2 linked regions of the Macaca mulatta genome follow. The protein of the gene in region 1 interacts with the protein of each later gene in a pairwise test. Links are inferred from orthologs where the notes say so. Each region holds a gene or a part of one and is shown in the gene's direction. Other genes may lie near its edges.

Region 1 (3,805 bases):
GGCCCCAGGACAGGGACACGCCCGTGCAGAATAAGCGGAGGCGGAGCGTGACCCCTCCTGAGGAGCAGCAGGAGCCTGAGGAACCTGTGAGTGCCTTCCTCCTGGAGCCCACTTTTGCATGAACCTGGGCAGCCACCCCCTTGGCTAAGTTTGTGGCAGAGGGCAGGTGGCAGCCTGGGCATAGCAGAGAAAGGGGGTACCAGCTAGACAGGGCATTGAGGGGCAGCCCCACCCTGACCCTGGCCTCCACCTGACTCACTTTCTAGAAAGTCCGCGTCCTCCGCTCAAAATCACTGTGTCACGATGAGATTGAGAACCTCCTGGACAGTGACCACCGACAGCTGATTGGAGATTACTCTAAGGTACCTGCAGCAGCAAAGGGCCCTTTGGGGGCTTGACCTCTTACTGACTAAGGGTCCTCTAGCCTAGGAGCTGCTTGGGTTTCTCCCTTTCCCCAGAGCTCCCCTTTTCTTTGTCCTTTGTATCTTTTCATCCTTTGTTCTCATATAGACTCCTCCCTCTGGCCCTCCTTGTCTCCTGACTCCACCTCAAGTCAGTCCAGGCATCTGTTGTGTCTCCATCTTATTTCCAAGCTCATACCTAGCTTGGAACCCCGTCATGCCTCACGTTCGGGCTTGGCAGAGGGTAGGGAGCAGAGTGTGGAGTTCATCTCTTCCACTTCCCTTTTTCATTTCCCTTTCCCCTTGGAAGGTTGTTCCCTGGGTGTCAGACCCAAGAGGCCCTCTCAGTTGCTATGGGACCCAGAGCTGAATTTGAAGGCCAAAGCAGGTGTGGCCTCTGAGTTTGGGAATGAAACTTCATTCTTTCCAGGCTCCTGGTCTTACCAGTTTAACTTTTTCCTCTCTCCCGCATCTCTTCCCTTCCGTTCAGGCCTTCCTCCTACAGACGGTAGATGGAAAGCACCAAGACCTCAAGTACATCTCACCAGAAACGGTAAACAGCGTTGCGCCATTTTCTAGGCATATTTGGGACTGTAGCTCCGTTGTTGACCTTCCCTGGGGACAGGCTGTATGGGCTATGCCAGAGGACAGGCTAGGGCCACCTGCTGGCTGCCAGCCTGACCTTCTGGAACCAACCCCCATGACCTCCTACAGATGGTGGCTCTGTTGATGGGCAAGTTCAGCAACATCGTGGATAAGTTTGTGATTGTGGACTGCAGATACCCCTATGAGTATGAAGGCGGGCACATCAAGGTAAGGTGGGGCAATGGGCAGAGGCCCTGAAGATCCCACCTGGTTTAGGTCCTTGCTCTGCCAAGAGCAAGAATGGGTGGAGGACGGGTGCCCCCTCTTGTGGGGAGGGTTCCTACCAAGAGAAGGACAGGGACTGCAGGGGGAGGGGCCTGCCTCCTGGGCCCAGGGCTGTGCCTGACCTCTGGCTCCTCTGACAGACTGCGGTGAACTTGCCCCTGGAACGCGACGCCGAGAGCTTCCTGCTGCAGAGCCCCATCACACCCTGTAGCCTGGACAAGAGAGTCATCCTCATTTTCCACTGTGAATTCTCATCTGAGCGTGGGCCCCGCATGTGAGTCCCAGCTCCGCCCAGCCAGCTAGTGTCTGCCCCGGCCTTCCCTGCCCAGGCTCGCAGGTGCTGGCACCATTGCGATGGCCATGGGTGCAAATCCGGGTTCTACTCTGTCCCATCTGATGGCCTAGAGCTGACCTCAGCCCCGCTTCACTGCGCATGGTACCCACCTCCCATCTCCCTCACTGTCCTGCCTATCAAACCTCATGTCCACCCCCCATCCATTGCTGCCACCCTCAGAAAATCTAGTTCCAAGTCTCTAGCAGTGTCTTTCTCGAAATCTAAGGGCCCCATGTCAGTCCCCAGTGACACTGACCCTCCCCATGTTCAGTGCTGTTAGGTCTCCATTGGAACCTCCTCCACTGGCATCCACAGCACCTGGGCCCTCCCTGGCTAAGCTCCTTCTGTCCCTATTCCTGTTCTGCCTGGCCATCTGTCCTCCCACCCCTGCCTCCTTCTGGGTTGCCACTGGTCCATCAGACTGCTAGTGACTCCCCAGTCTGGCCTCACCCATGTGGTGGGAATCTGTACCCAGATGCCCCTTACAGAGTCACATCCCTGTGGCCCTCCCATCTTCTCCAGGCATCCCAGCATGTGGCACCCACCTCCACCCGGGCACCAGGCCTGGGCACTGGCTTCAGTCTTGGGTCCTCCTCCTCCCTTCTTCCCACCGCTGATCCTCACTGGGTCTTGTCCAGGAGTGGCCCGAATGGGTCCCTTGAATTTGGCCCACTTGTCTCCTCTCCTGCTTCTCCTTTCCTGGTCCAGGCACAGATATCTCTAACAAAGATGGTGCAACTGCTTTCTAGAAACAGAGAGCTCATCCCCTTGATTTTACCTTCTTCGTTCTACCTCCCCACCCTCTTCTGTAGCCAGACTAATCTAAAAAGTGTTCTTTTGGTTACATTCCTGTGCTCAAAGCCTTCTGTGGCTCCCCAAGGCCCTCAAAGGAGGGGACGTGGGGAATAGGTCCCATGATGTACAAGCCACTGCATGTCCCATTCTGACCACACCTTGCCCATGACGCCCCAGGTGCCGTTTCATCAGGGAACGAGACCGTGCTGTTAACGACTACCCCAGCCTCTACTACCCCGAGATGTATATCTTGAAAGGCGGCTACAAGGAGTTCTTCCCTCAGCACCCGGTAGCGTGGGTGGGGAAGGCCACAATCTGTGAGGGTTGGCTTGGCCAGGCTGGAGCCATGGGAGGGGGGTGGGAGGATTGGGTCCCTGTCAAACTTACCCATTCCACTGCATTGAACCCTCCTATCCTGCCCTAGAACTTCTGTGAACCCCAGGACTACCGGCCCATGAACCATGAGGCCTTCAAGGATGAGCTGAAGACCTTCCGCCTCAAGACTCGCAGCTGGGCTGGGGAGCGGAGCCGGCGGGAGCTCTGTAGCCGGCTGCAGGACCAGTGAGGGCCTGCATCAGTCCTGCTACCTCCCTTGCCTTTCCAGGCCTGAAGCCAGCTGCCCTATGGGCCTGCCAGGCTGAGGGCCTGCTGGAGGCCTCAGGTGCTGTCCATGGGAAGGATGGTGTGGGTGTCCTGCCTGTCTGCCCCAGCCCCGATTCCCTTGTGTCATCCCATCATTTTCCATATCCTGGTGCCCCCCACCCCTGGAAGAGCCCAGTCTGTTGAGTTAGTTAAGTTGGGTTAATACCAGCCTAAAGGCAGTATTTTGTGTCCTCAAGGAGCTTCTTGTTTCCTTGTTAGGGTTAACCCCTCATCTTCCTGTGTCCTGAAAAGCTCCTTTGTGTGTGTGTCAGCGGAGGCTGGGGGAGAGCTATGGTCCCTGAGGATGGGTCAGAGCTAACCTCCTTCCTGGCCTGGGAGTCAGCTCTCTGCCCTGTGTACTTCCCGGGCCAGGACTGCCCCTAACCTCTGTAGGAACCGTGGTATGTCTGCCATGTTGCCCCTTTCTCTTTTCCTCTTTCCTGTCCCACCATACAAGCACCTCCAGCCTGAACAGAAGCTCTTACTCTTTCCTATTTCAGTGTTACCTGTGTGCTTGGTCTGTTTGACTTTATACCCATCTCAGGACATTTCCGTAGACTGTTTAGGTTCCCCTGTCAAATATCAGTTACCCACTCAGTCCCAGTTTTGTTGCCCCAGAAAGGGATGTTATTATCCTTGGGGGCTCCCAGGGCAAGGGCTAAGGCCTGAATCGTGAGCCTGCTGGAAGCCCAGCCCCTACTGCTGTGAACCCTGGGGCCTGACTGGTCAGAACTTGCTGCTGTCTTGTTGCGGATGGATGGAA
Region 2 (4,550 bases), on another chromosome or scaffold:
ACCCCTCTGCCTATCTCTCCCAGCCCCAGAACAAAAGGTCTGGGCTGTGTTCACCCGTACCCATCCCAAGGGGAGAGGATTGTATCTCCTTAGTCTTCTTACCCAATACTACATTCTCTGACTCCCCACTTTAAATCTCCTACCCCAAGAGACATTTCTTAAAAGAGTCTCCCGCACATTTCACCCCTTTGGAGCCCCTGCTCCAGCTCACTGCCAAGGAAGCCTCAGAATCAGTGCCACAGAGACCTTCTATTCTTCTGCCCCTCCAAGCATATGAGATTATTTTCAGGCTCAATCCCAAATCTCCATGTAGGGAGGGAGCCCAGGTGCCCACATTCTCACTAAATCAAATGAGTGGGAGACGCCTGAAATATTGCCGCTATCTCCCATTAGGAGGAGAGAAACCAGAGCAGGGGGAATTCATCCCCAAGTTCACACCTGCTTATGTCCACATATCCACACATACCTTTTGTAGCCCCCACAGCCAGCAAAGCACCTATCACAGCCAAATGAAGAAGCCATCTTTTTAGCACCAGATCCATTGTGTTCTTCCCTCCAGCAACCAAAGGCACTGGGGGGACTGGGATAGGCCCCTATATAAGAAAAGGGTGCTCATTTGCATAGCCCTTCCTCTTCTCCCTCAGAGAAGGCCTGGGAGGGGCCAGAGAAGAGGAAGAAGGAAAAACTGACAAAGGGATCCTGGTCCCTAGACATTGCTTTCCCATCCTGCTACTCAATGGCAGTTTCTGGTTTCACTGGGTCACTCTCATATACTCCCGGGCAAGGGCTGACTGAAAGGCAGCTGCATAACACATACCAGACACAACAGTTCATCATGGGAGAGTGAATTAAACCAGGAACTTCTCAAAAAAACAGAAACAGAAGCCTGCATCCCAAAACACAGACAGCGTCGGGGTAGGCTATGAGGCAGAGGCAATGACTCCTCTGAGGCCCAGGAATTCTTTACAACGAGATTCCTAGTTTCCTGCTTTTCAAAGGAGGCTCCTGGGCCAGGTGGAATTTAACCTTAGGTCGATACATATTTTCCCCAGGAGTGGTGAAAATAGTGAGTTAGAAATCAAGAAATCCCTACAGACTAGAGACACAGGTAGGAAACTTGGACCCAAAGTAGGTACTTGGGAAGACTGTTCAGCCGCCCCACCGAGAAAGAAATTTGTCTAGCCCCCGAAGAACCAAACTTGCCTGGGGCGGGGTCATTTGCGGGGAGGAGCGCTGCACTCGCCCCCCGGCTCTGACGTTGACCAATAGAAATGCCTGGGGGCGGAGCCAGGGAAACGCGGGAAGCAGGGGCGGGGCTTCTGGTGGCGGTCGGGAACTCGGGGGGAGGCGGCAACATTGTTTCAAGTTGGCCAAATTGACAAGAGCGAGAGGTATACTGCGTTCCATCCCGACCCGGGGGCACGATACTGGGCCCTGTTTCCCCCTCCTCGGCCCCCGAGAGCCAGGGTCCGCCTTCTGCAGGGTTCCCAGGCCCCCACTCCAGGGCCGGGCTGACCCGACTCGCTGGCGCTTCATGGAGAACTTCCAAAAGGTGGAAAAGATCGGAGAGGGCACGTACGGAGTTGTGTACAAAGCCAGAAACAAGTTGACGGGAGAAGTGGTGGCGCTTAAGAAAATCCGCCTGGACACGTGAGTGGCCTCTGTACCCGGGACTCCTAACTGGGGACCTCCTTGACTGTCCCCCCCCAATCCCCCACGGGCGGGTAGCCGTCCAGGGACCGGAAGACAACAGGGACGGACTTCTTTAGAAGTGGAGAGGTGGGTTGGGGGCCAGTAGAAGGTGGAGTGTATACTTATACTCCCTGGGGAGAGTATAGGATGGTGTGGAATCCATGGAAAACTTTCTTCCCAAACTGAGCCGGATCGTGCCCCCAAATGTGCGAACACAGAGACTCGGGGAGAGAAAGGAGGCCTCTGAGATGAGGTCCAAGACTCTCCATGGAGTGGAGTTATGTGGGAACCGGCGAGGAGCGCCTTTCTGAATGAAGAGCTCTCCTCACTGCCCCACCCTCACCTTAGAATTCTCTCCTCTTTCCAAAGAATGGCAGTTGAACCTCACTGGCCCCTCTGGAGAGACTGGGGACTACTCCTGCTTTTTTTTTTTTTTTTTCCCCATTACAGCCTCCCTGCTTTACCTTCACCAGACGGCTTTACTTACCTACCCCTGGGAAAAGACAAGATAATGACCTTAATATGTGCAAAAGCCACACCCTGACTACCCAAGAATTAGCTCTTTCCAGCACCCTTTCTTTTCTCTGACTTTCCTAGGGGGTGCTGGGTGGTGTCTCCTTGGGGGAAAGAAATGACTAGGTGGGGGAAAAAGGAATATTTGTAACCATATTCCCGTCTCTGCTTTCCCAACCTCTCCAAGTGAGACTGAGGGTGTGCCCAGTACTGCCATCCGAGAGATCTCTCTGCTTAAGGAGCTTAACCATCCTAATATTGTCAAGTGAGTATGTGTCTGAGAGGCAATCCAGCTGGAAAGGAGGATGAGTTGTCTGTACAGTGTGGGCTTTTCTCTCTCTCGCACCTCCATTTCCTCAAACTTTACTTCTCTAGGCTGCTGGATGTCATTCACACAGAAAATAAACTCTACCTGGTTTTTGAATTTCTGCACCAAGATCTCAAGAAATTCATGGATGCCTCTGCTCTCACTGGCATTCCTCTTCCCCTCATCAAGGTAATGCTTCTCATCAGCTCCTCCCATCATGGGCATGTCTTGGGGTACTGGTGGCAGGCAATTCAGGGTGATATTTTATGATCTTGGCCTCCTTCTGAGCCCTCATCTCCTACACACACACACTCCCCTTCTTTTTGTGTCTCCTTCCCTGCTCATTATATTCATTAACCCTAGGGTTGGACTGAACAATCAAAGTTGAAACTCTAGTGAGTCAACCTAGCAACTCAGGTGGGAGGTCAGATGAAACTCAGATAAATGGGATTTGAGAGCACTTGGTAAATTCCTCCAAAAAGCCCTTCTGTTTGGTGGAAGAACCAGCTAGTAAGTCTCTATTGTCTATTTTAGGGCTGGATTCTTCACTCCCAGAGCTACTTTATTAACAAACATTTGTTCAATGCACAGCATGTAGAAAAGGGAAGCAAAATTGAGTAAGACTTGGTCCTTATCCTCTCTGGGCTGACAGTCCATTGGGAGAAATAGCTTGTAAATATGTAACTATAATCCAACATAGTAAAGGCTTTAGTAGAGTTTTGGGGTCACAGAGCAAACCCAGTCTGCTCACTGTGATGGAGAAACACAGTCCTCTCTTTCTTCTTTGTCAGAGCTATCTGTTCCAGCTGCTCCAGGGCCTAGCTTTCTGCCATTCTCATCGGGTCCTCCACCGAGACCTTAAGCCTCAGAATCTGCTTATTAACACAGAGGGGGCTATCAAGCTAGCAGACTTTGGACTAGCCAGAGCTTTTGGAGTCCCTGTTCGTACTTACACCCATGAGGTGAGTCCCTTTATGCCTTTCTTCTCTGAGCTTCCCAAGAGGTGTTAACTAGGGTATTCACAAATTTACTAAAAATATCTGGCTAACAGTTTCTTACTAGGTAGAAATAATCTCTTGACATCTTCAAGAGTCTTAGGGCATGCATGGAATTCATACTGTGTTGCTAACTGGGCTCACGCCTGTAATACCAGTACTTTGGGAGGCTGAAGTGGGAGGATCACTTGAGCCCAGGAGTTCGAGACCATCATGGGCAACATAGCGAGACCCCATCTCTACAAATCTACAAAAAGAAAAAATTTCGAAATCAAATTATGACCATTTGTCTCAAGTTTTTCCAGGAAGATCTCAAATTGGGGGTTCAGAAAATATGGTCTCCGGAACTATGGACTGGAAATCAGTGAGAGGGGAAAGAGGGAGGGAAGGAAACTGCTTGTTAAGAGGCCATGAGTTAGCAGAGTAGTGTTGGGGAACTGAGATGTGGGAATCTCCATACCCTATAAACCACTCCACCTCTCCCTATTCCTGTCCCTCAGGTGGTGACCCTGTGGTACCGAGCTCCTGAAATCCTCCTGGGCTGCAAATACTACTCCACAGCCGTGGACATCTGGAGCCTGGGCTGCATCTTTGCTGAGATGGTATGGAGGCTTGCCCAAGTTCACCCAGCCCCCTCCTCCCCACATTCAAGAACAACAGAACTGTTTCTTGGCCCAGACCTATGGCCCTTCTATCACAGGGGTCTGTCTCTAAAGTAGCACCAAGGGGAATGGTGGGAAAGGATGCAACTGTTGCCCCAATATCAACCACAATGTTAGGATATCCTCAAACAGCCTTAGTACCTAGTATACTTCTCTTATCCCTGAAATGACATAAAGCATTTCTGCAGCCATTTTAGCTGAGTCTGCATATATTTGGGAGAATGATTCCATTTAGTGCCTCTTTTATTTCAGGCCTTCATTTCAAGGCTTGTAGACCTTATTGTGTGGTGCCAGCAATGTAGTGAAGACAATTGTGGTCACTTTATCCACACCCTTCATTTAAATTGCAGATTTAGGCAGAGTGCAGTGGCTCACACCTAT

The links.
Region 2: the proteins of CDC25B (region 1) and CDK2 interact in a two-hybrid assay, tested with the Homo sapiens proteins (2 studies listed by BioGRID and IntAct). The link is inferred for Macaca mulatta from reciprocal best matches to the Homo sapiens genes CDC25B and CDK2.

Annotation. Positions count from the first base shown.
Region 1 is NC_133415.1:80,264,148-80,267,952, reverse strand, and holds part of CDC25B (M-phase inducer phosphatase 2), read left to right. Parts: coding exon 1-86; intron 87-266; coding exon 267-362; intron 363-891; coding exon 892-954; intron 955-1,115; coding exon 1,116-1,214; intron 1,215-1,411; coding exon 1,412-1,545; intron 1,546-2,577; coding exon 2,578-2,689; intron 2,690-2,824; coding exon 2,825-2,965; 3' UTR 2,966-3,805. UniProt on the Homo sapiens protein: Tyrosine protein phosphatase which functions as a dosage-dependent inducer of mitotic progression. Directly dephosphorylates CDK1 and stimulates its kinase activity.
Region 2 is NC_133416.1:63,110,713-63,115,262, forward strand, and holds the start of CDK2 (cyclin-dependent kinase 2), read left to right. Parts: upstream 1-1,534; coding exon 1,535-1,650; intron 1,651-2,392; coding exon 2,393-2,470; intron 2,471-2,580; coding exon 2,581-2,701; intron 2,702-3,303; coding exon 3,304-3,474; intron 3,475-4,007; coding exon 4,008-4,109; intron 4,110-4,550. Other genes in the region: melanocyte protein PMEL, read right to left, coding at 467-593, 1,204-1,536. UniProt on the Homo sapiens protein: Serine/threonine-protein kinase involved in the control of the cell cycle; essential for meiosis, but dispensable for mitosis. Phosphorylates CABLES1, CTNNB1, CDK2AP2, ERCC6, NBN, USP37, p53/TP53, NPM1, CDK7, RB1, BRCA2, MYC, NPAT, EZH2.